Linked DNA regions of Saccharomyces cerevisiae S288C. The gene in region 1 interacts genetically with each later gene. Each region holds a gene or a part of one and is shown in the gene's direction. Other genes may lie near its edges.

What was found.
Region 2: mutations in BCK1 (region 1) and PIN4 together harm fitness more than expected from each alone (negative genetic interaction), as found in Saccharomyces cerevisiae (5 studies listed by BioGRID, with this or other methods).
Region 3: mutations in BCK1 (region 1) and ALG6 together harm fitness more than expected from each alone (negative genetic interaction), as found in Saccharomyces cerevisiae (5 studies listed by BioGRID).
Region 4: mutations in BCK1 (region 1) and CHS5 together harm fitness more than expected from each alone (negative genetic interaction), as found in Saccharomyces cerevisiae (7 studies listed by BioGRID, with this or other methods).

What each region holds. Positions count from the first base shown.
Region 1 is NC_001142.9:245,163-253,093, forward strand, and holds BCK1 (mitogen-activated protein kinase kinase kinase BCK1), read left to right. Parts: upstream 1-2,092; coding exon 2,093-6,529; downstream 6,530-7,931. Other genes in the region: SAP185 (Sap185p), read left to right, coding at 1-96; enoyl-CoA hydratase PHS1, read left to right, coding at 429-1,082; mitochondrial 54S ribosomal protein bL21m MRPL49, read left to right, coding at 1,328-1,813; KHA1 (Kha1p), read right to left, coding at 6,659-7,931. UniProt on the Saccharomyces cerevisiae protein: Serine/threonine protein kinase involved in a signal transduction pathway that plays a role in yeast cell morphogenesis and cell growth. This pathway seems to start by SMP3; then involve the kinase PKC1 that may act on this kinase.
Region 2 is NC_001134.8:121,084-126,704, reverse strand, and holds PIN4 (Pin4p), read left to right. Parts: upstream 1-1,945; coding exon 1,946-3,952; downstream 3,953-5,621. Other genes in the region: alpha-soluble NSF attachment protein SEC17, read right to left, coding at 586-1,434, 1,551-1,580; SAS3 (histone acetyltransferase), read left to right, coding at 4,831-5,621. UniProt on the Saccharomyces cerevisiae protein: Involved in normal G2/M phase transition of the mitotic cell cycle. In association with RAD53, also involved in checkpoint control in response to DNA damage.
Region 3 is NC_001147.6:327,085-332,494, forward strand, and holds ALG6 (dolichyl-P-Glc:Man(9)GlcNAc(2)-PP-dolichol alpha-1,3-glucosyltransferase), read left to right. Parts: upstream 1-2,332; coding exon 2,333-3,967; downstream 3,968-5,410. Other genes in the region: exosome nuclease subunit RRP6, read left to right, coding at 1-1,949; putative subtilisin-like protease YSP3, read left to right, coding at 4,371-5,410. UniProt on the Saccharomyces cerevisiae protein: Dolichyl pyrophosphate Man9GlcNAc2 alpha-1,3-glucosyltransferase that operates in the biosynthetic pathway of dolichol-linked oligosaccharides, the glycan precursors employed in protein asparagine (N)-glycosylation.
Region 4 is NC_001144.5:785,979-791,600, forward strand, and holds CHS5 (Chs5p), read left to right. Parts: upstream 1-1,685; coding exon 1,686-3,701; downstream 3,702-5,622. Other genes in the region: nicotinamide-nucleotide adenylyltransferase NMA1, read left to right, coding at 1-140; REC102 (Rec102p), read left to right, coding at 464-637, 735-1,355; JIP3 (Jip3p), read right to left, coding at 4,691-5,068; MID2 (Mid2p), read left to right, coding at 4,698-5,622. UniProt on the Saccharomyces cerevisiae protein: Component of the CHS5/6 complex which mediates export of specific cargo proteins, including chitin synthase CHS3. Also involved in targeting FUS1 to sites of polarized growth.

The sequences.
Region 1 (7,931 bases):
AGATCCAAAAGTAAGGACAAGATATCATGGGATGAAGAAGAACAGGCGCGATTAATGGGCGTTGTAAAATTTAATTCAGAGCATTACAGGGACTAGGAAATAATACTAATTAAATAATTCTAATAATTCTAATATTAATAACAATAATAATAAGAATAATAATTATACAATAACACATGTATTTCCTAACTCACAATCGTTTGGACTACATATGCTGTCTAGTGCCTTATTGCGACTTTGCCCGTTTGATAACTTACTTCGATTGTTTAGTATTCAAAAAGGAAAAAGGCGTTTTCTTTTTCGTGTACTTTTTTTCGAAATTCTGTTGAATTTATTCGAACTCAGAATTGGTCCATCAAGAGCATCCAAAATACAAAATAACTCATCATCACACAAGAAGAAGCACAACTCCAAGCAATTTCTACAATATGTCAAAAAAACTTGCGTCACCATTGTCCTTCTTACCCCTTTATAATTTGCTTTCTGCTGTTGGTTGGTCTTATTTGCTTTACTTGGTCATCTCCTTGTACCCAAAAGTTGGACAGCCAGCATTCTTCTACCAAACTAAAAATGTCGCTACCCTTGTTCAATGTGGTGCTATAATCGAGATCATAAACTCATTTTTAGGAGTTGTACGTTCCCCATTGCTGACCACTGTTGCACAAGTGTCTTCAAGACTACTAGTTGTCCTCGGCATCTTCCAATTGTTGCCAAACACAAGTGGTGTTCAATCAGTTGTTTACATATCATTATTACTGGCATGGTCTATAACTGAGATCGTCAGATACTTGTATTATTTTTTCATGTTGGTATTCAAGAATGGCGCACCAAAGATCTTAATTCTATTAAGATATAATTTGTTCTGGATTTTGTACCCCACTGGTGTTGCCAGCGAACTACGCATTATTTACTGTGCTTTAAATGCAGCTGAATCTCAGTATTCTTTACTTTACAAAAGAATTTTAATAGCGGCCATGCTCGCTTATATCCCAGGCTTCCCAATGCTCTTCCTACACATGGTAGCACAGAGAAAGAAAGTCATGAAAAGTTTAAGATCCTCTTTCGGGAAGAAACTAATTTGAATTCTTTAGATAAATTCTTCTGTATTTTTTATAAGAATATTAGCCTTCACATTGAAATGGCTTCAACGCTCTTAACCATAATCACTAGTATCTTGCGGTGCACGGGCTTTATATTGAGCAAAATTGCGAAGGGTAGCCGAATTAGAGAACTCTTAGAAAGATGTCGAAGCTCACTCGGAGTCGACCTTCACAGCCTACTGAAACAACTGTGCCGAGACAATCTTAAGTGTGTTGCTCTAATTTTCATGCTACAACTGAAATTCATATGGCCAGTGGCCAGAATCACACCTATTTATAGGCCATTTACCAGTCATCCATTCAGAAATTTAGCTACTTCCTCAAGCATCAGTAGTACAAAAGCTAAGACTACTAAGACAGATACAACTCCACTAAAATTATCAAATGAACTATATGCAATATTCAAGATTCATAATCGTCCATATTTGGTGACCGAGGGCGACAGAGTTATTCTTCCATTCAAATTGAAGCAAGCGGAGGTGGGTGACATTTTAAACATGACCGATGTAACAACTTTAGGATCTAGAAACTACAAGCTAGTTGGTCATCCAATCAATACTTCTCTGTATACTTTAAAAGCAACCGTTGTTGGGAAAACTAAAAGGGCTTTCCAAACTAGGGAGGTAACGAAGAGAAGAAATAGACGGGTCCGTCATGCAAAGAGTAAAGGTGATTTGACAATCTTAAGAATATCAGAACTGAGTATGAACTGAATTTTAGGGATATGTACATATACGCATACGTATAAAATCATGTAAATAACAATAAAATTTGACACACTTTCTTCGGCCCCAATGGCCATTCAATTCCAGACCGACGCGTCTTCTAAGTTATAATGCTATGAAATTTCAACAAGTTAATTAAAAGTAAGCATAATAATAAAATCAGGTAATGGATTCACCAAAAAAAAAAATAAAAAAACAAGGGCAGAGGGGTGACCATTAGTACGAAACACTAAATATAGTATTAAAATAGTTCAACTCCACCTCCAAATGCCCTTTTTGAGGAAAATAGCGGGGACAGCACATACACATTCTAGGTCTGATTCGAACTCATCTGTGAAATTCGGCCATCAGCCGACTAGTTCGGTAGCATCAACCAAAAGTTCAAGCAAAAGCCCTCGTGCAACATCTCGCAAAAGCATTTATGATGATATTAGAAGCCAATTTCCCAACCTAACCCCCAACTCTACCTCTTCTCAGTTTTACGAAAGCACGCCAGTTATCGAACAATCCTTTAATTGGACGACAGATGACCACATCTCAGCTGGAACGCTTGAAAACCCAACGAGCTTTACAAACAGTTCTTATAAAAATGACAATGGACCTAGTAGCCTCTCTGATTCGAGGAAATCCTCCGGTGGCAATAGCGTAAATAGTTTGTCCTTTGACAAGCTAATTCTATCGTGGGATCCTACAGACCCTGATGAATGGACAATGCATCGCGTCACCTCATGGTTTAAATTTCATGATTTTCCAGAATCCTGGATATTGTTTTTCAAAAAGCATCAATTGTTTGGTCACAGATTTATAAAGTTGCTTGCATATGATAATTTCGCTGTTTATGAAAAGTATTTGCCGCAGACTAAAACTGCTTCATATACCAGGTTTCAGCAGTTATTGAAAAAAACAATGACCAAGAACGTAACAAATAGCCATATTCGTCAGAAGAGCGCTAGCAAACTTAAAAGTTCCAGGTCTTCCAGCGAATCGATCAAATCAAAATTAAAAAATAGTAAATCGCAAGAGGATATTTCAAATTCTAGATCAACGTCAGAATCTGCATTGAGCCCAACAAAATCGGGCCCTTCCAAGACCGATGAAAAGAATTTTTTACATTCTACTTCAACACACCAAAAAACCAAAAGCGCAAGTTCACTATACAGAAGAAGTTTTATATCCCTAAGAGGCTCATCATCGAGCAATGCTTCCTCAGCAAAATCACCTTCAAACATCAAGTTAAGTATACCGGCTCGGCCGCACTCAATTATTGAATCTAACAGTACACTTACCAAATCGGCGAGCCCACCTGCATCTCCTTCGTATCCTAGCATATTTAGAAGACATCACAAAAGTAGTTCATCTGAGTCGTCATTATTAAATTCCCTTTTTGGTAGTGGAATAGGCGAGGAAGCTCCAACAAAGCCTAATCCACAAGGTCATAGTCTGTCTAGTGAAAATTTAGCTAAAGGAAAATCTAAACACTATGAAACTAATGTGTCTTCACCTTTAAAACAATCTTCACTACCCACTTCGGATGATAAAGGTAATTTATGGAATAAATTCAAAAGAAAGAGCCAAATAGGGGTTCCTAGCCCAAATACGGTAGCTTATGTAACGTCTCAAGAAACTCCATCCTTAAAATCGAATTCGAGTACTGCTACCTTAACCGTACAAACGGCAGATGTAAATATACCATCTCCATCTTCATCACCACCGCCAATACCCAAAACTGCAAACAGAAGTTTGGAGGTCATCAGCACAGAAGATACACCTAAAATTTCTTCAACCACGGCGTCTTTTAAAGAAACGTATCCTGATTGTATTAATCCAGACAAGACAGTTCCAGTGCCGGTAAATAATCAAAAGTATAGTGTAAAGAACTTTTTACTGGACCAAAAATTTTATCCTCTGAAGAAAACAGGGTTAAATGATAGTGAGAATAAATATATTCTGGTTACCAAAGATAATGTTAGTTTTGTTCCGCTAAACTTAAAAAGTGTAGCAAAATTATCCAGTTTCAAAGAATCTGCTCTCACAAAATTGGGAATCAATCACAAAAATGTCACTTTCCATATGACAGACTTTGATTGCGATATTGGTGCTGCAATTCCAGATGATACTTTGGAATTTTTGAAAAAAAGCTTGTTTTTGAACACTTCTGGAAAAATTTATATCAAAGACCAAATGAAGCTTCAACAAAAACCGAAACCTGCTCCTCTCACCTCAGAAAACAATGTTCCTTTAAAATCGGTGAAAAGTAAGAGTTCAATGAGGTCCGGAACAAGCAGTCTGATAGCATCGACAGATGATGTTTCCATTGTCACTTCGTCTTCTGACATAACATCATTTGATGAACATGCATCAGGAAGTGGGCGCAGGTACCCCCAAACCCCGAGTTATTACTATGACAGAGTTTCCAATACTAATCCAACTGAAGAATTGAATTATTGGAATATTAAAGAAGTTCTTTCTCATGAGGAAAATGCACCAAAAATGGTTTTTAAAACAAGTCCAAAATTAGAACTCAACCTACCAGATAAAGGAAGTAAATTAAATATTCCTACCCCCATAACAGAAAATGAAAGCAAGAGTAGTTTTCAAGTGCTAAGAAAAGATGAGGGGACTGAAATTGATTTCAATCATCGTAGGGAATCGCCTTATACAAAACCAGAACTGGCACCAAAAAGAGAAGCTCCCAAGCCTCCCGCAAATACTTCTCCTCAGAGGACCTTATCAACTTCTAAACAGAATAAACCGATCCGCCTAGTGAGGGCAAGTACAAAAATTTCGAGAAGCAAAAGATCGAAACCATTGCCGCCACAATTATTATCATCTCCTATAGAAGCTAGCAGCTCGTCTCCTGATTCGCTTACTTCCTCATATACTCCTGCTTCGACTCATGTTTTGATACCGCAACCTTATAAGGGTGCAAACGATGTTATGCGTAGGTTGAAAACAGACCAGGACTCGACGAGTACTTCCCCATCTTTGAAAATGAAACAGAAAGTGAATCGCTCAAATTCAACTGTATCGACTTCAAATTCAATTTTCTATTCTCCTTCACCATTGTTAAAAAGAGGTAACTCAAAAAGAGTTGTTTCGTCGACATCTGCGGCCGATATATTTGAAGAGAATGACATAACATTCGCGGATGCTCCGCCGATGTTTGACAGCGATGATAGTGATGACGATTCTAGTTCATCCGATGACATTATCTGGTCCAAGAAAAAAACAGCTCCTGAGACTAATAATGAAAACAAAAAGGATGAGAAAAGCGATAACAGTTCTACGCATTCTGACGAAATATTCTATGATTCTCAAACGCAGGACAAAATGGAGAGAAAGATGACCTTTAGACCATCTCCGGAGGTCGTTTATCAAAATTTAGAGAAATTCTTCCCAAGGGCTAACTTAGATAAGCCAATCACTGAAGGAATAGCTTCACCAACATCTCCGAAATCCTTAGACAGCCTACTTTCACCAAAGAATGTGGCTTCATCGAGAACTGAGCCAAGCACTCCTTCCCGTCCCGTCCCTCCTGATAGCTCATACGAGTTCATACAGGATGGACTTAACGGTAAAAATAAACCATTGAATCAAGCTAAGACACCTAAAAGAACAAAAACCATAAGAACCATTGCACATGAAGCTAGTTTAGCAAGAAAAAACTCTGTAAAACTAAAAAGACAGAACACCAAAATGTGGGGTACAAGAATGGTCGAAGTGACCGAAAACCATATGGTGTCAATTAATAAAGCCAAAAATTCGAAAGGTGAGTATAAGGAATTCGCCTGGATGAAGGGTGAAATGATAGGGAAGGGATCTTTCGGTGCTGTTTATTTATGTTTAAACGTTACTACAGGTGAGATGATGGCCGTTAAGCAGGTTGAGGTCCCCAAGTATAGCTCACAAAATGAAGCCATTCTAAGTACCGTGGAAGCATTAAGATCTGAAGTGTCCACGTTAAAAGATTTAGATCATCTTAATATTGTTCAATACTTAGGTTTTGAGAATAAAAACAATATTTACAGTTTGTTTTTAGAATATGTTGCTGGTGGCTCCGTGGGATCCTTGATTAGAATGTATGGAAGATTCGATGAACCGTTGATCAAACATTTAACAACACAAGTATTAAAAGGATTGGCATACCTACACTCGAAAGGTATTCTCCACAGGGATATGAAGGCAGACAACTTACTTTTGGATCAAGATGGTATCTGCAAAATCAGTGACTTCGGAATTTCAAGAAAATCAAAGGACATATACTCTAATTCGGATATGACCATGCGAGGAACAGTCTTCTGGATGGCTCCTGAAATGGTTGATACAAAGCAAGGCTACAGTGCAAAAGTTGATATATGGTCTCTGGGATGCATCGTTCTGGAAATGTTTGCTGGTAAGCGCCCGTGGTCCAACTTAGAAGTCGTCGCAGCCATGTTCAAAATTGGAAAGTCAAAATCGGCACCACCAATTCCTGAGGACACTTTACCATTGATATCGCAAATCGGACGAAATTTTCTGGACGCATGCTTCGAGATAAATCCAGAGAAAAGGCCAACCGCTAACGAGCTTCTTTCTCATCCTTTTAGTGAAGTAAATGAAACATTCAATTTCAAATCTACCAGACTCGCGAAGTTTATAAAGTCAAATGATAAGTTAAACTCTTCAAAATTAAGGATAACCTCTCAGGAGAATAAAACTGAATAGCTATTAGGATCGATCTATACTTAAGATATTTATGCATACGTAATAATATAGAACAATAAACATAGATGACGGAATGACGGAATGACTGAAAATTAAGAACAAAGAAAATTAAAAAATTTCTGCTGATACTTATTCAGACGAAAAATGGTGCACAATAAGGGTGTCAAAACGACGATTCGACCCTTCAAATATTACAGTCCTCACCTCTTCGCTGAAGGGCTCACTTTCATCAGGAAGGTCCTCTCCAATAATAAAGGTAGTCTCCTCTATATCAGCTAAAGCAGTATCTGATAAACCAACATCAAGCACAGTCTCTATAAAGGACGGCTTTTCAATTGCTTCTTCTGGAACTTTCGTTTCAAAGGGGATATCCACAATTTTAATGGTAGATTCGTTTAGCCAGTCATGCTCAGCAAATGCAGTTGACAAATCTTTTGCGAAATCAATATTCTTGCTGTTAATAAATATACTACAGGATGCATTATCATTATTATAGCCATCTCTATAGCATATCAATAAGAGAAGATATAGTCCAAGATAATCGGATTGTGTCAGGTATGGTTTTGGAAGTAATAAATTGAACCGTTTCCTCTTAAAGCGATCAGCATTTAATCTGCCATAGGTATTTGAAATTTGAACGGCAAAATTTGCCTTGAGTGACTGGAAAATAGACTTGAAGAAAGTAGATGATAGTTCATTCAGACCTAGGAGATGAGAATAAATGTGATCAAAGTTTGCGTATTTTTCATCAATGAAGACTGGGCTCCCTCTATACTCATACGAGGCCCCTTTTAATGGCAATAAGATCAGATCTGTGGAATCCATTTTCATCGTCGCTATATTAGCTGCCTTTTCACGCATTGTAGAAAATATGACTTCACTTGAAAATGGTATTTTGCTCAGGTTTGAAAATATATCAAAAATTTGTAATAGTGAATCTGTATTTGCGGTAAAGTGGGGATCATCATTATATAGAGAAGATGATTGCAGCAGATCAGTTGTCCGTTCAGTGAGCAATCGTAAATGAATGGCCCTCAATGCACCGACTCCCTCAAACGGGGTCAATTTTTCATCTATAACACTTAAATTGGTATCCACATCGTCAACGCTTTTAGACCAGATATGAACCATCTTTTTTATTTTGAATGTGTTAGATTTCAATGTGGAATCAGTAGCTGTTGTCATTCTGCTCAAGGAGGTTTCGTTCTTATGTTTATTATTCTTAGGCTTGGGAGATACCCCTAAAGACAGGTAATTTAGCAGCTTTAGAGATGGAGAGATCGCTTCTGTAGTGTTTATCACCGTGGTCAGTTCACCAATTCTATATTTGCTAACATCTGCCAATGAATTAAGTTGAGTGTTAATTTCAGTCTTGTCCACACCCTCAGAATCGAGACCATCT
Region 2 (5,621 bases), on another chromosome or scaffold:
AACGAAGAAGAACGTATTTATAATATTGGGCTGTAATGTGTTGAGTTTAGTAATAGATAAAGTAGGACAGAGTTCTGTCTTTGTTTATCTATGGGGTTCAGAGTGATAAGGGGCAGGATAAGGAAGTTAAAAAAAAAAAGGTTACGTTATATAACGAAAGAAAAGAAACGAGCGAAGTGCCAACTATAGCCCAATATCAAGAATGCAAGTCAGCAAAGTACAGTAATCGTATGAAGATACGCGATGCGTAATATCCCTCAAGGGCTCCGGATCAGAAAAGCTAAGGGAAGATCCTTACATTACACGGCGTGCGACAGACTCGAACCACAGCTAACTTCTCGTGAAAAGATGGCTTCAACTTCGCTCTTGCAATAACTTTGAAACACACGAACAAAGGTTTATTGCGCTTGATTAACGTTGGAAGTATATGATACTAATACTACTTTGTTCTCTAAGTCATCGCTATATGTTTATCTCGAGGAAAAGGTGCACGGCGGTACACAATTACTTCGCCGTTTCGGGTAAAACAAGTGTTACATTTATAATATATATGTATATATGTATGTGCGCGTAAGTATATGCCGTTCATAACAAATCATCTTCTTGTTGCTGGATGGACTCCTTAATTTTATTCAAAATGGTAATTTTCCATTTATCTAGTCTCATAAAATTGTCAAACTCCTTACAGTGTTCGCTTAGCTGCTCGCTATCACCTTCATTAACAGCATCGATTAAACTTTTCAAGAAATTTGACTCCCTTGAATCCGCAAAATTCGGATCTTCACTTTGACCCTCTTGTAAAGTTCTTGCAGCAGCGACTGCATCAGTAGCAGCTAGCTGACAAAGCCCTTTTTTTAGGAAGTAATCCTTCAAACTCCATTGGCTCAATCTATTGCCCATGCTGCTCTTGATCAACTTCGAATATATATCACTTGCTTCAATATATTGACCGTCAAGAGCCTTTAGATCTGCGCATTTGATAAAACACTTATTCGATAATGCTACCGACTGGTCTTGGGCATACCACTCACCAGCGAGCTCATAGCAATCTATAGCTTTTGCATAGTCATGCAAATCATTTTCTAGAATTTCTCCAAGCTCAAACTTGAAATTAGCACCTCTCCGGAACTGCCCCCTATGAGTAAAAATTTGAATAGCATTTTCTAATGAATCCACGGCGTTCACAGAGTTTCCACCGCTTTTAAAGCATTTATAAGCCTCTACGTAGGTATTTCCTGCTTCGTCTTCATTACCAGCCTTTTTCTGATAGTCAGCAGCTTTCAAAAACGAGTCTCCTGCCAAGTTTAACTCTTTTCTTAGACGGTAAATGGTGGCTGCTTGGACACAAAGATCAGCAGCCTCCTCAAACTTGTATGAATCAGAACCGCTAAACAATTTCATGAAACCCGATGAAGGAACACCCTTCTTCTCAGCCTTAACACAACGGGAAATATCAATTCCCGTATTTCAATGTTAGTAATTTGCCTTCGTAAATTACGGAATCACATAGCTTTCATTTTGTTCCTTTGATATATTTCCCTACTACATACTCTTTTCAATAACTCTACAGGGTCTGACATTTTTAACTTTCAGGTTAATGATGGTGTTCTTACTATATTCTCGAGTCGTACAGAAGTTAGTTCAGATAAACTGCTTCGGTGCTGCCCACTTCTTATCATTACTTCAACTTTACCTTCCCTATACCTGTGTGTCCTTATTAATTCAAGTTAATCCGAGGTAATAGATTAGGGTAACCTTCAATGATGTCACGAAACACGGATGCTGCAACTTTGCGATTTTTTCCTGGAAAAGAATAACAATTAAAGGCAGCCTTTCAGCTGAGATTACCAGCAGGTCTTTGGAGATTAGCGCAAGAAGAAGTGTGATATAGTACTCATAGAGGCAGGCTACAGACTAGGGAAAGCGTGTTCAACAACAATAAGAAATGGAGACCAGTTCTTTTGAGAATGCTCCTCCTGCAGCCATCAATGATGCTCAGGATAATAATATAAATACGGAGACTAATGACCAGGAAACAAATCAGCAATCTATCGAAACTAGAGATGCAATTGACAAAGAAAACGGTGTGCAAACGGAAACTGGTGAGAACTCTGCAAAAAATGCCGAACAAAACGTTTCTTCTACAAATTTGAATAATGCCCCCACCAATGGTGCTTTGGACGATGATGTTATCCCAAATGCTATTGTTATTAAAAACATTCCGTTTGCTATTAAAAAAGAGCAATTGTTAGACATTATTGAAGAAATGGATCTTCCCCTTCCTTATGCCTTCAATTACCACTTTGATAACGGTATTTTCAGAGGACTAGCCTTTGCGAATTTCACCACTCCTGAAGAAACTACTCAAGTGATAACTTCTTTGAATGGAAAGGAAATCAGCGGGAGGAAATTGAAAGTGGAATATAAAAAAATGCTTCCCCAAGCTGAAAGAGAAAGAATCGAGAGGGAGAAGAGAGAGAAAAGAGGACAATTAGAAGAACAACACAGATCGTCATCTAATCTTTCTTTGGATTCTTTATCTAAAATGAGTGGAAGCGGAAACAATAATACTTCTAACAATCAATTATTCTCGACTCTAATGAACGGCATTAATGCTAATAGCATGATGAACAGTCCAATGAATAATACCATTAACAATAACAGTTCTAATAACAACAATAGTGGTAACATCATTCTGAACCAACCTTCACTTTCTGCCCAACATACTTCTTCATCGTTGTACCAAACAAACGTTAATAATCAAGCCCAGATGTCCACTGAGAGATTTTATGCGCCTTTACCATCAACTTCCACTTTGCCTCTCCCACCCCAACAACTGGACTTCAATGACCCTGACACTTTGGAAATTTATTCCCAATTATTGTTATTTAAGGATAGAGAAAAGTATTATTACGAGTTGGCTTATCCCATGGGTATATCCGCTTCCCACAAGAGAATTATCAATGTTTTGTGCTCGTACTTAGGGCTAGTAGAAGTATATGATCCAAGATTTATTATTATCAGAAGAAAGATTCTGGATCATGCTAATTTACAATCTCATTTGCAACAACAAGGTCAAATGACATCTGCTCATCCTTTGCAGCCAAACTCCACTGGCGGCTCCATGAATAGGTCACAATCTTATACAAGTTTGTTACAGGCCCATGCAGCAGCTGCAGCGAATAGTATTAGCAATCAGGCCGTTAACAATTCTTCCAACAGCAATACTATTAACAGTAATAACGGTAACGGTAACAATGTCATCATTAATAACAATAGCGCCAGCTCAACACCAAAAATTTCTTCACAGGGACAATTCTCCATGCAACCAACACTAACCTCACCTAAAATGAACATACACCATAGTTCTCAATACAATTCCGCAGACCAACCGCAACAACCTCAACCACAAACACAGCAAAATGTTCAGTCAGCTGCGCAACAACAACAATCTTTTTTAAGACAACAAGCTACTTTAACACCATCCTCAAGAATTCCATCCGGTTATTCTGCCAACCATTATCAAATCAATTCCGTTAATCCCTTACTGAGAAATTCTCAAATTTCACCTCCAAATTCACAAATCCCAATCAACAGCCAAACCCTATCCCAAGCGCAACCACCAGCACAGTCCCAAACTCAACAACGGGTACCAGTGGCATACCAAAATGCTTCATTGTCTTCCCAGCAGTTGTACAACCTTAACGGCCCATCTTCAGCAAACTCACAGTCCCAACTGCTTCCACAGCACACAAATGGCTCAGTACATTCTAATTTCTCATATCAGTCTTATCACGATGAGTCCATGTTGTCCGCACACAATTTGAATAGTGCCGACTTGATCTATAAATCTTTGAGTCACTCTGGACTAGATGATGGCTTGGAACAGGGCTTGAATCGTTCTTTAAGCGGACTGGATTTACAAAACCAAAACAAGAAGAATCTATGGTAATATATACTTCCATTATTCTATGATTATAGAGTTTGTTTGGTATTTGTATATCGCACGATACAAGTAATGAGGGGTGCTTACACAAGATAAAAGATAAAAAAATATATATATATAATAAAAACCATCAAAAACACCATTGAAAAAAAATATAAAAAAAAAAAAAAATAACCGAATATGAATATGAAATTAATGATCATGATGAAGTTAATTTTTACTGAGAAACGTCACCTAATGTCGATGAAACGATGATAATGAATGAATGATGAGGCTACTTTAAGTAACGCAATGTAATCAAGCCAAAATTATCCCTCTTTTTTTTTTTTCCCTCTTTTGAGATTTTATTTTTAACCTACTACTTACTTTTTTTTTTTGAACGTTCTTTTCCCACATACTTTTATATATGGTATTTATATGTACGATGTTTAATCACAGAGATGTTTCTACCTTACTCGATATTGTTTTTGCATTAATTGATATCTTGCTCACTGCATCATTGGCGGTATTTGTAGTATATAGAAAGTCGGGTAACAATAATTTATTGACATTTCTTTGTTTACAATGATCAGAGAAGAGCAGAAAGTTTCATAGTCAAACGTTCAGGCCAATTGAACAAGAAATTATTCGTTTTTTTAGTCGTTGAGTGTTCAACTGACATGCTATTTTGGTGGTTCTTGATTAATTGGGGGCTTCATTGTTTGAAATAAAGAGTCGGGAAAATAGCACAGAAACAAAGCATATTAAAAGAGGCAAAAGAAGAAAGAACGAATATAAAAGGTAAAAAAGGAAAAGCATTGCTATTCTTTTCTCATAGGTGTTATTCATACCGCCCTCTCTCTTCTTCCTTCTTCATTAATTAGTCTCCGTATAATTTGCAGATAATGTCATTAACAGCAAACGACGAATCGCCAAAACCCAAAAAAAATGCATTATTGAAAAACTTAGAGATCGATGATCTGATACATTCTCAATTTGTCAGAAGCGATACAAATGGACATAGAACTACAAGACGACTATTCAACTCCGATGCCAGTATATCACATCGAATAAGAGGAAGTGTTCGGTCTGATAAAGGCCTTAATAAAATAAAAAAAGGGTTGATTTCCCAGCAGTCCAAACTTGCGTCAGAAAATTCTTCTCAAAATATCGTTAATAGGGACAATAAGATGGGAGCAGTAAGTTTCCCCATTATTGAACCTAATATTGAAGTCAGCGAGGAGTTGAAGGTTAGAATTAAGTATGATTCTATCAAATTTTTCAATTTTGAAAGACTAATATCTAAATCTTCAGTCATAGCACCTTTAGTTAACAAAAATATAACATCATCCGGTCCTCTAATCGGGTTTCAAAGAAGAGTTAACAGGTTAAAGCAAACATGGGATCTAGCAACCGAAAACATGGAGTACCCATATTCTTCTGATAATACGCCATTCAGGGATAACGATTCTTGGCAATGGTACGTACCATACGGCGGAACAATAAAAAAAATGAAAGATTTCAGTACAAAAAGAACTTTACCCACCTGGGAAGATAAAATAAAGTTTCTTACATTTTTAGAAAACTCTAAGTCTGCAACGTACATTAATGGTAACGTATCACTTTGCAATCATAATGAAACCGATCAAGAAAACGAAGATAGGAAAAAAAGGAAAGGGAAAGTACCAAGAATCAA
Region 3 (5,410 bases), on another chromosome or scaffold:
TGGATAATTTGTTAGAAATGTCAGACCATTCGCTGGATAAGCTGAATTGTGCAATAAACTCAAAGTCAAGAGGTTCCGATCTTCAGTATTTAGGCGAATTTTCAGGAAAGAATTTTTCTCCCACCAAAAGAGTCGAAAAACCTCAGTTGAAATTTAAAAGTCCAATTGATAACAGCGAAAGTCATCCGTTCATACCTTTATTGAAGGAAAAACCAAATGCTTTGAAGCCACTCTCTGAGAGTTTGAGGTTGGTTGATGATGATGAAAATAACCCCAGTCACTACCCCCATCCTTATGAATATGAGATTGATCATCAAGAGTATAGTCCAGAAATTCTCCAAATTAGAGAGGAGATTCCCTCAAAATCCTGGGATGATTCGGTACCAATTTGGGTAGATACAAGTACAGAACTCGAATCAATGTTGGAGGACTTGAAAAATACGAAAGAGATTGCCGTTGATCTTGAGCATCACGATTATAGGTCATACTATGGTATTGTTTGCCTCATGCAAATTAGTACAAGGGAAAGGGATTATTTAGTTGATACTCTAAAACTTCGCGAAAATTTACATATTCTGAACGAAGTGTTTACGAACCCTTCAATTGTGAAAGTTTTTCACGGTGCATTCATGGATATTATTTGGCTTCAGCGAGATTTAGGTTTGTATGTCGTTGGTCTCTTCGATACTTACCATGCGTCTAAAGCAATCGGTCTTCCTAGACATAGTTTGGCCTATCTTTTGGAGAATTTTGCCAATTTTAAAACTTCAAAGAAATATCAGTTGGCTGACTGGCGTATAAGACCGCTTTCAAAACCCATGACGGCATATGCTAGAGCAGATACTCACTTTTTACTAAATATATATGACCAGTTGAGAAACAAACTTATCGAGTCTAATAAGTTAGCAGGTGTTCTTTATGAATCAAGAAATGTCGCAAAAAGAAGGTTTGAATATTCAAAGTACAGACCACTGACACCTTCTTCAGAAGTTTATTCTCCAATCGAAAAAGAGAGTCCTTGGAAAATATTGATGTATCAGTACAACATACCACCTGAGAGGGAAGTATTAGTAAGAGAGCTATACCAATGGAGAGATCTTATTGCAAGAAGAGACGATGAATCGCCACGATTTGTTATGCCAAACCAGTTATTGGCTGCACTTGTCGCATATACACCTACTGATGTCATAGGTGTTGTTTCTTTGACCAATGGCGTAACTGAACATGTCCGCCAGAATGCAAAACTATTAGCTAATTTGATAAGAGATGCATTACGAAACATCAAGAACACCAATGAGGAAGCTACTCCCATTCCATCTTCCGAGACCAAAGCAGACGGAATATTGTTGGAGACTATAAGTGTTCCTCAAATCCGTGATGTTATGGAAAGGTTTTCGGTGTTGTGCAACAGCAATATTTCCAAGAGCCGAGCCAAGCCTGTCACTAATTCTTCTATTCTGTTGGGTAAGATTTTACCACGTGAGGAGCATGATATTGCATATAGCAAAGACGGCTTGCCAAATAAAGTGAAGACGGAAGATATCAGGATCCGAGCACAAAATTTCAAGTCTGCCTTAGCAAACTTGGAGGATATCATATTCGAAATAGAGAAACCTCTCGTTGTTCCTGTCAAGCTAGAGGAGATTAAGACAGTAGACCCTGCGAGCGCACCTAATCACTCGCCTGAGATTGATAATCTTGATGATCTTGTTGTTTTAAAGAAGAAAAACATTCAAAAGAAACAACCAGCAAAGGAAAAAGGTGTAACGGAAAAAGATGCTGTGGATTATTCAAAAATTCCGAATATCTTATCTAATAAGCCTGGCCAAAATAATAGACAACAAAAGAAAAGGAGATTCGACCCATCATCTAGCGATAGTAATGGACCAAGGGCAGCTAAAAAGAGGAGGCCTGCCGCCAAAGGTAAGAATCTGTCATTTAAAAGGTGATTATGTAAAACAAGCGTATTTTTTTATTTATAAATTATGGTAATTTTCATTTAAGACCTCTAAATTCATCTAATCGAATATCTGTGTCATGGAGTTATGGCTCCCCCATGCACACCATTTTCTCTTTTTTTGTTTCTGTGTTTCCCTTCATCTCCTTTATTATGAAAAGTACAAGTTTTATATAATTTCAACGTCGGAGGTTATCCGGAAATCTATAGTTGAATTTTTGCAGGATTATACTTCGCTCGAATATTGTGCGTGTTAAATACTCAGCGAGAACAATACTTCCAAGTTAGAAAAGGGATTTGCTCATGTTAAAGCAATGGCACTCCGAATGGACGGTGTCAGGAATTCTTTTCTTCACATCAGGCTTCGCATAGAAAATGGCCATTGGCAAAAGGTTACTGGTGAACAAACCAGCAGAAGAATCATTTTATGCTTCTCCAATGTATGATTTTTTGTATCCGTTTAGGCCAGTGGGGAACCAATGGCTGCCAGAATATATTATCTTTGTATGTGCTGTAATACTGAGGTGCACAATTGGACTTGGTCCATATTCTGGGAAAGGCAGTCCACCGCTGTACGGCGATTTTGAGGCTCAGAGACATTGGATGGAAATTACGCAACATTTACCGCTTTCTAAGTGGTACTGGTATGATTTGCAATACTGGGGATTGGACTATCCACCATTAACAGCATTTCATTCGTACCTTCTGGGCCTAATTGGATCTTTTTTCAATCCATCTTGGTTTGCACTAGAAAAGTCACGTGGCTTTGAATCCCCCGATAATGGCCTGAAAACATATATGCGTTCTACTGTCATCATTAGCGACATATTGTTTTACTTTCCTGCAGTAATATACTTTACTAAGTGGCTTGGTAGATATCGAAACCAGTCGCCCATAGGACAATCTATTGCGGCATCAGCGATTTTGTTCCAACCTTCATTAATGCTCATTGACCATGGGCACTTTCAATATAATTCAGTCATGCTTGGCCTTACTGCTTATGCCATAAATAACTTATTAGATGAGTATTATGCTATGGCGGCCGTTTGTTTTGTCCTATCCATTTGTTTTAAACAAATGGCATTGTATTATGCACCGATTTTTTTTGCTTATCTATTAAGTCGATCATTGCTGTTCCCCAAATTTAACATAGCTAGATTGACGGTTATTGCGTTTGCAACACTCGCAACTTTTGCTATAATATTTGCGCCATTATATTTCTTGGGAGGAGGATTAAAGAATATTCACCAATGTATTCACAGGATATTCCCTTTTGCCAGGGGCATCTTCGAAGACAAGGTTGCTAACTTCTGGTGCGTTACGAACGTGTTTGTAAAATACAAGGAAAGATTCACTATACAACAACTCCAGCTATATTCATTGATTGCCACCGTGATTGGTTTCTTACCAGCCATGATAATGACATTACTTCATCCCAAAAAGCATCTTCTCCCATACGTGTTAATCGCATGTTCGATGTCCTTTTTTCTTTTTAGCTTTCAAGTACATGAGAAAACTATCCTCATCCCACTTTTGCCTATTACACTACTCTACTCCTCTACTGATTGGAATGTTCTATCTCTTGTAAGTTGGATAAACAATGTGGCTTTGTTTACGCTATGGCCTTTGTTGAAAAAGGACGGTCTTCATTTACAGTATGCCGTATCTTTCTTACTAAGCAATTGGCTGATTGGAAATTTCAGTTTTATTACACCAAGGTTCTTGCCAAAATCTTTAACTCCTGGCCCTTCTATCAGCAGCATCAATAGCGACTATAGAAGAAGAAGCTTACTGCCATATAATGTGGTTTGGAAAAGTTTTATCATAGGAACGTATATTGCTATGGGCTTTTATCATTTCTTAGATCAATTTGTAGCACCTCCATCGAAATATCCAGACTTGTGGGTGTTGTTGAACTGTGCTGTTGGGTTCATTTGCTTTAGCATATTTTGGCTATGGTCTTATTACAAGATATTCACTTCCGGTAGCAAATCCATGAAGGACTTGTAGTTACATTTTAACTTATATAACTGTACAATGTCAGTCAGACGCAACTGATATAAAAGATGTGCTCTACAAGTAAAGATTATTTCAACTCTTAAAAATATTTGAAAAATGCACTATAATTTGATCTAAATAAGGTACAGATAATGGTAAGGCAAAACTACTACATTTGGCAGTGAGTATTGTTAGCTTTTCCGCTTATTTTCTCTCCTGGAGTAGCCACCGTTCGCGTCTTCCGAGCAATGGCGAATCTCGAATCTCGGAAGGGCGGCTACTGATAACAGGCACTCATATATATATTATTAGATAAGAGTTTTTTTTGACTGAGTCCTTATAACACGTAACTTATCAAGTTGCTATATTGTAAGTTCAGGTTTCCAATCTGTTCAACCACTTTATATCTTTAAACATGAAATTCTCTACCATCTTACCTATACTTTGGGCAAATTGCTGTCTTTGTATGATCATCCCTGATTTCGACGGGATAGTTCGTTTTATTGAGAATATTGATGGTACTCGCAGTGTAAGAGCAGGAGAAGGTTTGGGACAGCATGATCCTGGAAATTTTCACACTGAACATCAACATGTCGCTCATAAAACAGAGTTTCTTCCTTATCGGTATGTCATAGTCTTTAATGAAGATATTTCCCTCCAGCAGATTCAATCGCATATGCAAGTGGTACAGAAGGATCATAGTACCTCAGTAGGTAAGCTTACAGAAAATGACGCTTTTTGGAGGGTAATTTCTTCTTCAGTATCATCTAAATCTCAATTTGGAGGTATTGATAATTTTTTTGACATAAATGGTCTATTTCGAGGTTATACTGGCTATTTCACTGATGAAATCATTAAAATAATCTCCCAGGACCCAATCATAAAGTTCGTAGAGCAAGAAACTACAGTAAAAATATCTAATTCGTCATTGCAGGAAGAAGCGCCTTGGGGTTTACATAGAGTTTCGCACAGGGAGAAACCAAAATATGGACAAGATTTGGAATATTTATATGAAGATGCCGCCGGAAAAGGTGTCACATCATATGTACTCGACACAGGAATTGATACCGAGCACGAGGACTTTGAAGGGCGTGCTGAGTGGGGAGCCGTTATACCAGCAAACGATGAAGCTTCTGATTTGAATGGTCATGGAACTCACTGTGCGGGGATTATCGGATCGAAGCACTTTGGTGTAGCCAAAAATACAAAAATAGTAGCTGTCAAAGTTCTTCGTTCTAATGGGGAAGGGACGGTTTCAGATGTTATTAAAGGTATAGAGTATGTTACTAAGGAGCATATAGAATCGTCGAAGAAAAAGAATAAAGAATTCAAAGGATCGACTGCCAATCTTTCTTTGGGAAGTAGCAAATCGCTAGCTATGGAAATGGCTGTAAATGCAGCTGTAGATAGCGGTGTCCATTTTGCTATTGCGGCAGGAAATGAGGATGAAGATGC
Region 4 (5,622 bases), on another chromosome or scaffold:
CGAAAGTTCGTCTATTTATCAGACGCGCCATGTCTGTACAATATTTGTTACCTAATTCGGTCATCAGGTATATCCAAGAACATAGACTATATGTGGACCAAACCGAACCTGTTAAGCAAGTTCTTGGAAACAAAGAATGATTTGCCGTCCGGAATTGCTTCGTTCTTTCTTTCATCTTTCTCTTTACAATTTCCAATTTTCCCCTACAGGAATTAATTGGAGGGTACAAGCGAGTAGAAATGTGACATATGACTTACCTATCTGTGTTTTAGTATAGTTTTTTTTTCTGTAGTATAATTCACTTTTACACTAATTTTTTCGCCTTTTTCTCTTAAAGAGCTAATTTCTATAACCTTCAGCGGTTATACCAAATATAAAAAATGGAAGGAAAACAAACAGTAAGAAATAAGCGCAACAGCACGTTAGTTCACCATTGGATTCCAACATTTCAAAATTTAATCTAATGGCAAGAGATATCACATTTTTGACCGTATTTTTAGAAAGTTGTGGCGCTGTAAATAATGATGAGGCAGGAAAATTGTTATCTGCTTGGACTTCAACCGTACGCATTGAGGGACCGGAATCAACCGACTCTAATTCATTATATATTCCACTGCTACCACCTGGAATGTTGAAAGTATGTTTCTCCTAGCAAAATTAAAACCCATCCGTGAATGAAGCGTTACTAACTATAATAACTGGTAGCTTTGTCACTCGTACCAGGAAAAGTGAAGATTAAACTGAATTTTAAAATGAACGATCGATTAGTTACGGAAGAGCAAGAGTTGTTTACAAAATTGCGCGAGATTGTAGGTTCAAGTATTCGCTTTTGGGAGGAACAACTGTTTTATCAAGTTCAAGATGTAAGCACCATAGAAAACCACGTCATTCTCAGTTTAAAATGTACAATTTTAACGGATGCTCAGATAAGTACGTTCATAAGCAAACCCAGAGAGCTTCATACGCATGCCAAAGGATATCCTGAAATCTATTACCTTTCCGAGTTATCAACAACTGTCAATTTTTTTTCTAAAGAGGGAAACTATGTCGAAATAAGCCAGGTTATTCCTCATTTTAATGAATATTTTTCCTCTTTAATAGTGTCTCAATTGGAATTTGAATACCCGATGGTCTTCTCCATGATTTCAAGGCTCCGATTGAAGTGGCAACAAAGTTCGCTCGCTCCGATATCCTACGCCCTAACGAGCAATTCAGTACTTCTTCCAATAATGCTTAACATGATTGCCCAAGACAAATCTTCAACAACCGCGTATCAAATTCTGTGTCGAAGAAGAGGTCCTCCAATTCAGAATTTTCAAATTTTTTCCTTACCGGCTGTAACGTACAATAAGTAGCATGCATAAAATATAATTTAATCAAATACTTTTGGGCAATTAAAATTTTAGTTAACAATAGTTATGCAATGCGCTTTATGTTCATATGATACCGTTTATAAGCTATTGCCATATCCTTATCTTATTGCTTCCAGTAGCCTCGAGTCGACCACTAAAAAGATGTCACTTAAGACGGAAATTATGTAGCTGCACTTCTTTTTTAACAAGTTCGGTCGGCCCTTCAAGTTCTCCTTTCTAAAGCCTCATTATTTATTGCGTAGATGCTAAATGTTATCGCGGTTTAGCTTGCATGTTACGTTTCCGTTTTAGAACCTGGTCGAGTAGCGAATAATGTCTTCAGTTGATGTACTGTTAACAGTAGGTAAGTTGGATGCCTCATTGGCGTTACTGACTACTCAGGATCATCATGTTATTGAGTTTCCTACAGTATTATTACCAGAAAATGTTAAAGCTGGATCTATCATAAAAATGCAAGTTTCACAAAATTTAGAGGAGGAAAAAAAACAAAGGAATCATTTTAAGAGTATACAAGCCAAAATTTTGGAGAAGTATGGTACCCATAAACCGGAGAGCCCAGTTTTGAAAATTGTTAACGTTACGCAAACGAGCTGTGTTCTAGCATGGGATCCATTGAAACTTGGCTCAGCAAAATTGAAATCACTGATCCTTTATAGGAAGGGAATACGTTCAATGGTAATTCCAAATCCATTCAAAGTGACTACCACGAAAATATCCGGTCTTTCCGTTGATACGCCATACGAATTTCAATTGAAACTGATAACCACGTCAGGAACATTATGGTCTGAAAAGGTTATATTGCGTACACATAAGATGACTGACATGTCTGGTATCACTGTATGTTTGGGTCCATTGGATCCATTGAAAGAAATTTCAGACTTACAGATATCCCAATGTTTGTCTCACATCGGGGCGAGACCTTTACAACGTCATGTTGCGATAGATACTACGCATTTTGTCTGTAACGATCTAGACAATGAAGAAAGCAATGAAGAGCTTATAAGGGCAAAACATAACAACATACCAATTGTCAGACCGGAATGGGTGAGAGCTTGTGAGGTTGAGAAAAGAATCGTTGGTGTTAGAGGATTTTACTTAGATGCAGATCAAAGTATACTGAAAAACTACACATTCCCACCAGTTAATGAGGAAGAACTTTCGTACTCAAAGGAGAATGAGCCGGTAGCCGAAGTAGCGGATGAAAATAAGATGCCCGAGGACACAACAGATGTCGAACAGGTTGCATCACCTAATGACAATGAGAGTAATCCTTCAGAAGCTAAGGAACAAGGAGAAAAGAGTGGACATGAAACTGCCCCAGTAAGTCCTGTAGAAGATCCATTGCATGCTTCGACGGCTTTGGAGAATGAAACCACCATCGAAACCGTCAACCCCTCCGTAAGAAGTTTGAAAAGCGAACCTGTTGGTACTCCCAATATAGAGGAAAACAAAGCGGACTCTTCCGCAGAAGCCGTGGTAGAAGAACCGAATGAAGCTGTGGCTGAAAGTTCTCCAAATGAAGAAGCAACGGGACAGAAAAGTGAGGATACCGATACACATTCTAACGAACAAGCTGATAATGGATTTGTACAGACTGAAGAAGTAGCTGAAAACAACATAACCACAGAAAGTGCAGGGGAAAATAACGAACCTGCAGATGATGCAGCAATGGAATTTGGACGTCCAGAAGCTGAAATTGAAACTCCAGAAGTAAATGAGTCTATAGAAGATGCCAATGAACCTGCGGAGGATTCCAATGAACCTGTGGAGGATTCCAACAAACCTGTGAAGGATTCCAACAAACCTGTGGAGGATTCCAACAAACCTGTGGAGGATTCCAACAAACCTGTGGAGGATTCCAACAAACCTGTGGAGGATGCCAATGAACCTGTGGAAGATACCAGTGAACCTGTGGAGGATGCCGGTGAACCCGTACAAGAAACCAACGAGTTTACTACCGACATTGCCTCTCCAAGACATCAAGAAGAAGATATAGAACTTGAAGCCGAACCTAAAGATGCTACCGAAAGTGTTGCAGTCGAGCCATCCAATGAAGATGTAAAACCAGAAGAAAAAGGTTCAGAGGCAGAAGACGATATCAACAACGTTTCCAAGGAGGCTGCCTCTGGTGAGAGTACTACCCACCAAAAAACTGAGGCCTCTGCTTCTCTTGAAAGCAGTGCCGTCACGGAAGAACAAGAGACAACGGAAGCCGAAGTAAATACAGATGACGTTTTGTCCACTAAAGAAGCTAAAAAAAATACTGGCAACAGCAACAGTAATAAGAAGAAGAATAAGAAGAATAAGAAGAAAGGGAAAAAGAAATGATTAATGGATGCCTTCAATGAGTTCCACGACGCACGTTTATTTTTTCGACTGAGAATCCCTCAGCAAATATAATCTATTTTTTATATATCTGTGTATATGTAAGCATGTATAACTAGTTACAAATATGATAACTGCTTTGGCGATCACTTCATTTTCTTGAGAGGGGTACTCAGTAGCCGCCAAGCACGAAATGTCCGTTATTAAAAATTGGGGAGTGAATCTTAAAAGCCCGAAAAGGAAATTCAAAATCTGTCTATTTATAGGCCGTCGCGCTCTACGAAAACGCGAAATTATTCAAACGGAAAACGGAAAAAAATCTAAAAAAAGAAATTAATTGAGAGATCTCACGGAAATGCCGCGAGGAATGTTTCTCGAGGCTGAGCGGCGTGGTCTGTGCAAAAAAATGGCAATTTTTTTGTAGGAGTTTGCATTGGGCCATTCAGAAGGAGCACCGTTAGATGGGATGGTAAATGAATTTGCTGTTTCAGATTTGAATCAATCTTTACCCGTTATTTTTGCCGTTTTGCTTTCATAATCTGCAAATTAACAAAGTCATAAAGAACATAAAGACATCACCCCAGTTTTTACACTCTTTTTTCCTGTGTTTGGTTTAGCACAACTTTCCAATAACCAAGTTGGTTTCAGATCATCCCCATATTATTTTCTAGTTTCATTTACTTACCAAACTCACCATTCAAGGCTTTCAAATTAAGTTACGAGTACAGTGGACCATTTTTTTCTGATTCTTCATATTTTCCGTTATAAGTCTTATAAGGAAGGTATACATTTATATTGCGAATTTGAAAAATAATTTAAAGCTGACTTTGCGTTTTAGGTAGGCTAGAAAAGAATACAACTATCCCTAAACACATTCTAGATTCACGAAGACGCCTCTGCCTCAAAGACATACTATATTTTTACTCTCGTTGAACAAATAGTACCATTATTTCGCTACTTTCGTTGAAGATTGGACATATAAAATACGCAAATCATAGTATGTTGTCTTTCACAACCAAGAATAGTTTCCGCTTATTACTTTTAATACTGTCATGCATATCGACGATACGCGCACAATTTTTCGTGCAATCATCATCTTCGAATTCTTCAGCAGTATCTACTGCACGTTCTTCCGTAAGTAGAGTTAGTTCTTCAAGTTCCATTTTGTCATCCAGTATGGTTTCTTCCTCAAGTGCTGACTCATCTTCCCTTACTTCATCGACATCAAGTAGGTCCCTCGTGTCACATACGAGTTCGTCTACCAGCATTGCCTCCATATCGTTCACATCATTCAGTTTCTCATCAGATTCAAGCACCAGCAGCTCTTCCTCTGCTTCTTCAGATTCTTCATCCTCCTCATCCTTTTCCATCTCTTCGACATCCGCAACTTCTGAATCATCGACGTCTTCTACGCAAACGTCAACATCATCTTCATCCTCACTGTCGTCAACGCCGTCCTCTTCATCATCCCCATCAACAATCACTTCTGCACCTTCAACCTCCTCCACACCATCCACTACTGCCTATAATCAAGGAAGCACTATCACCAGTATTATTAACGGTAAGACGATTCTCTCAAATCATTATACTACCGTTACGTACACACCATCAGCAACCGCTGATTCAAGCAATAAATCCAAAAGTTCGGGTCTTTCTAAAAAAAATAGAAACATCGTCATTGGTTGTGTGGTTGGTATTGGTGTACCACTGATTCTGGTGATACTGGCTTTAATTTACATGTTTTGTATCCAATCATCAAGGACGGACTTTATTGACTCAGATGGTAAGGTCGTTACGGCATATAGAGCTAACAAATTTACGAAATGGTGGTATATGCTTTTGGGTAAGAAAGTTAGTGATGAATACCACTCCGATTCACCATTAGGTGGTAGTGCATCGTCCGCAGGTGGTTTAGACCTAGATG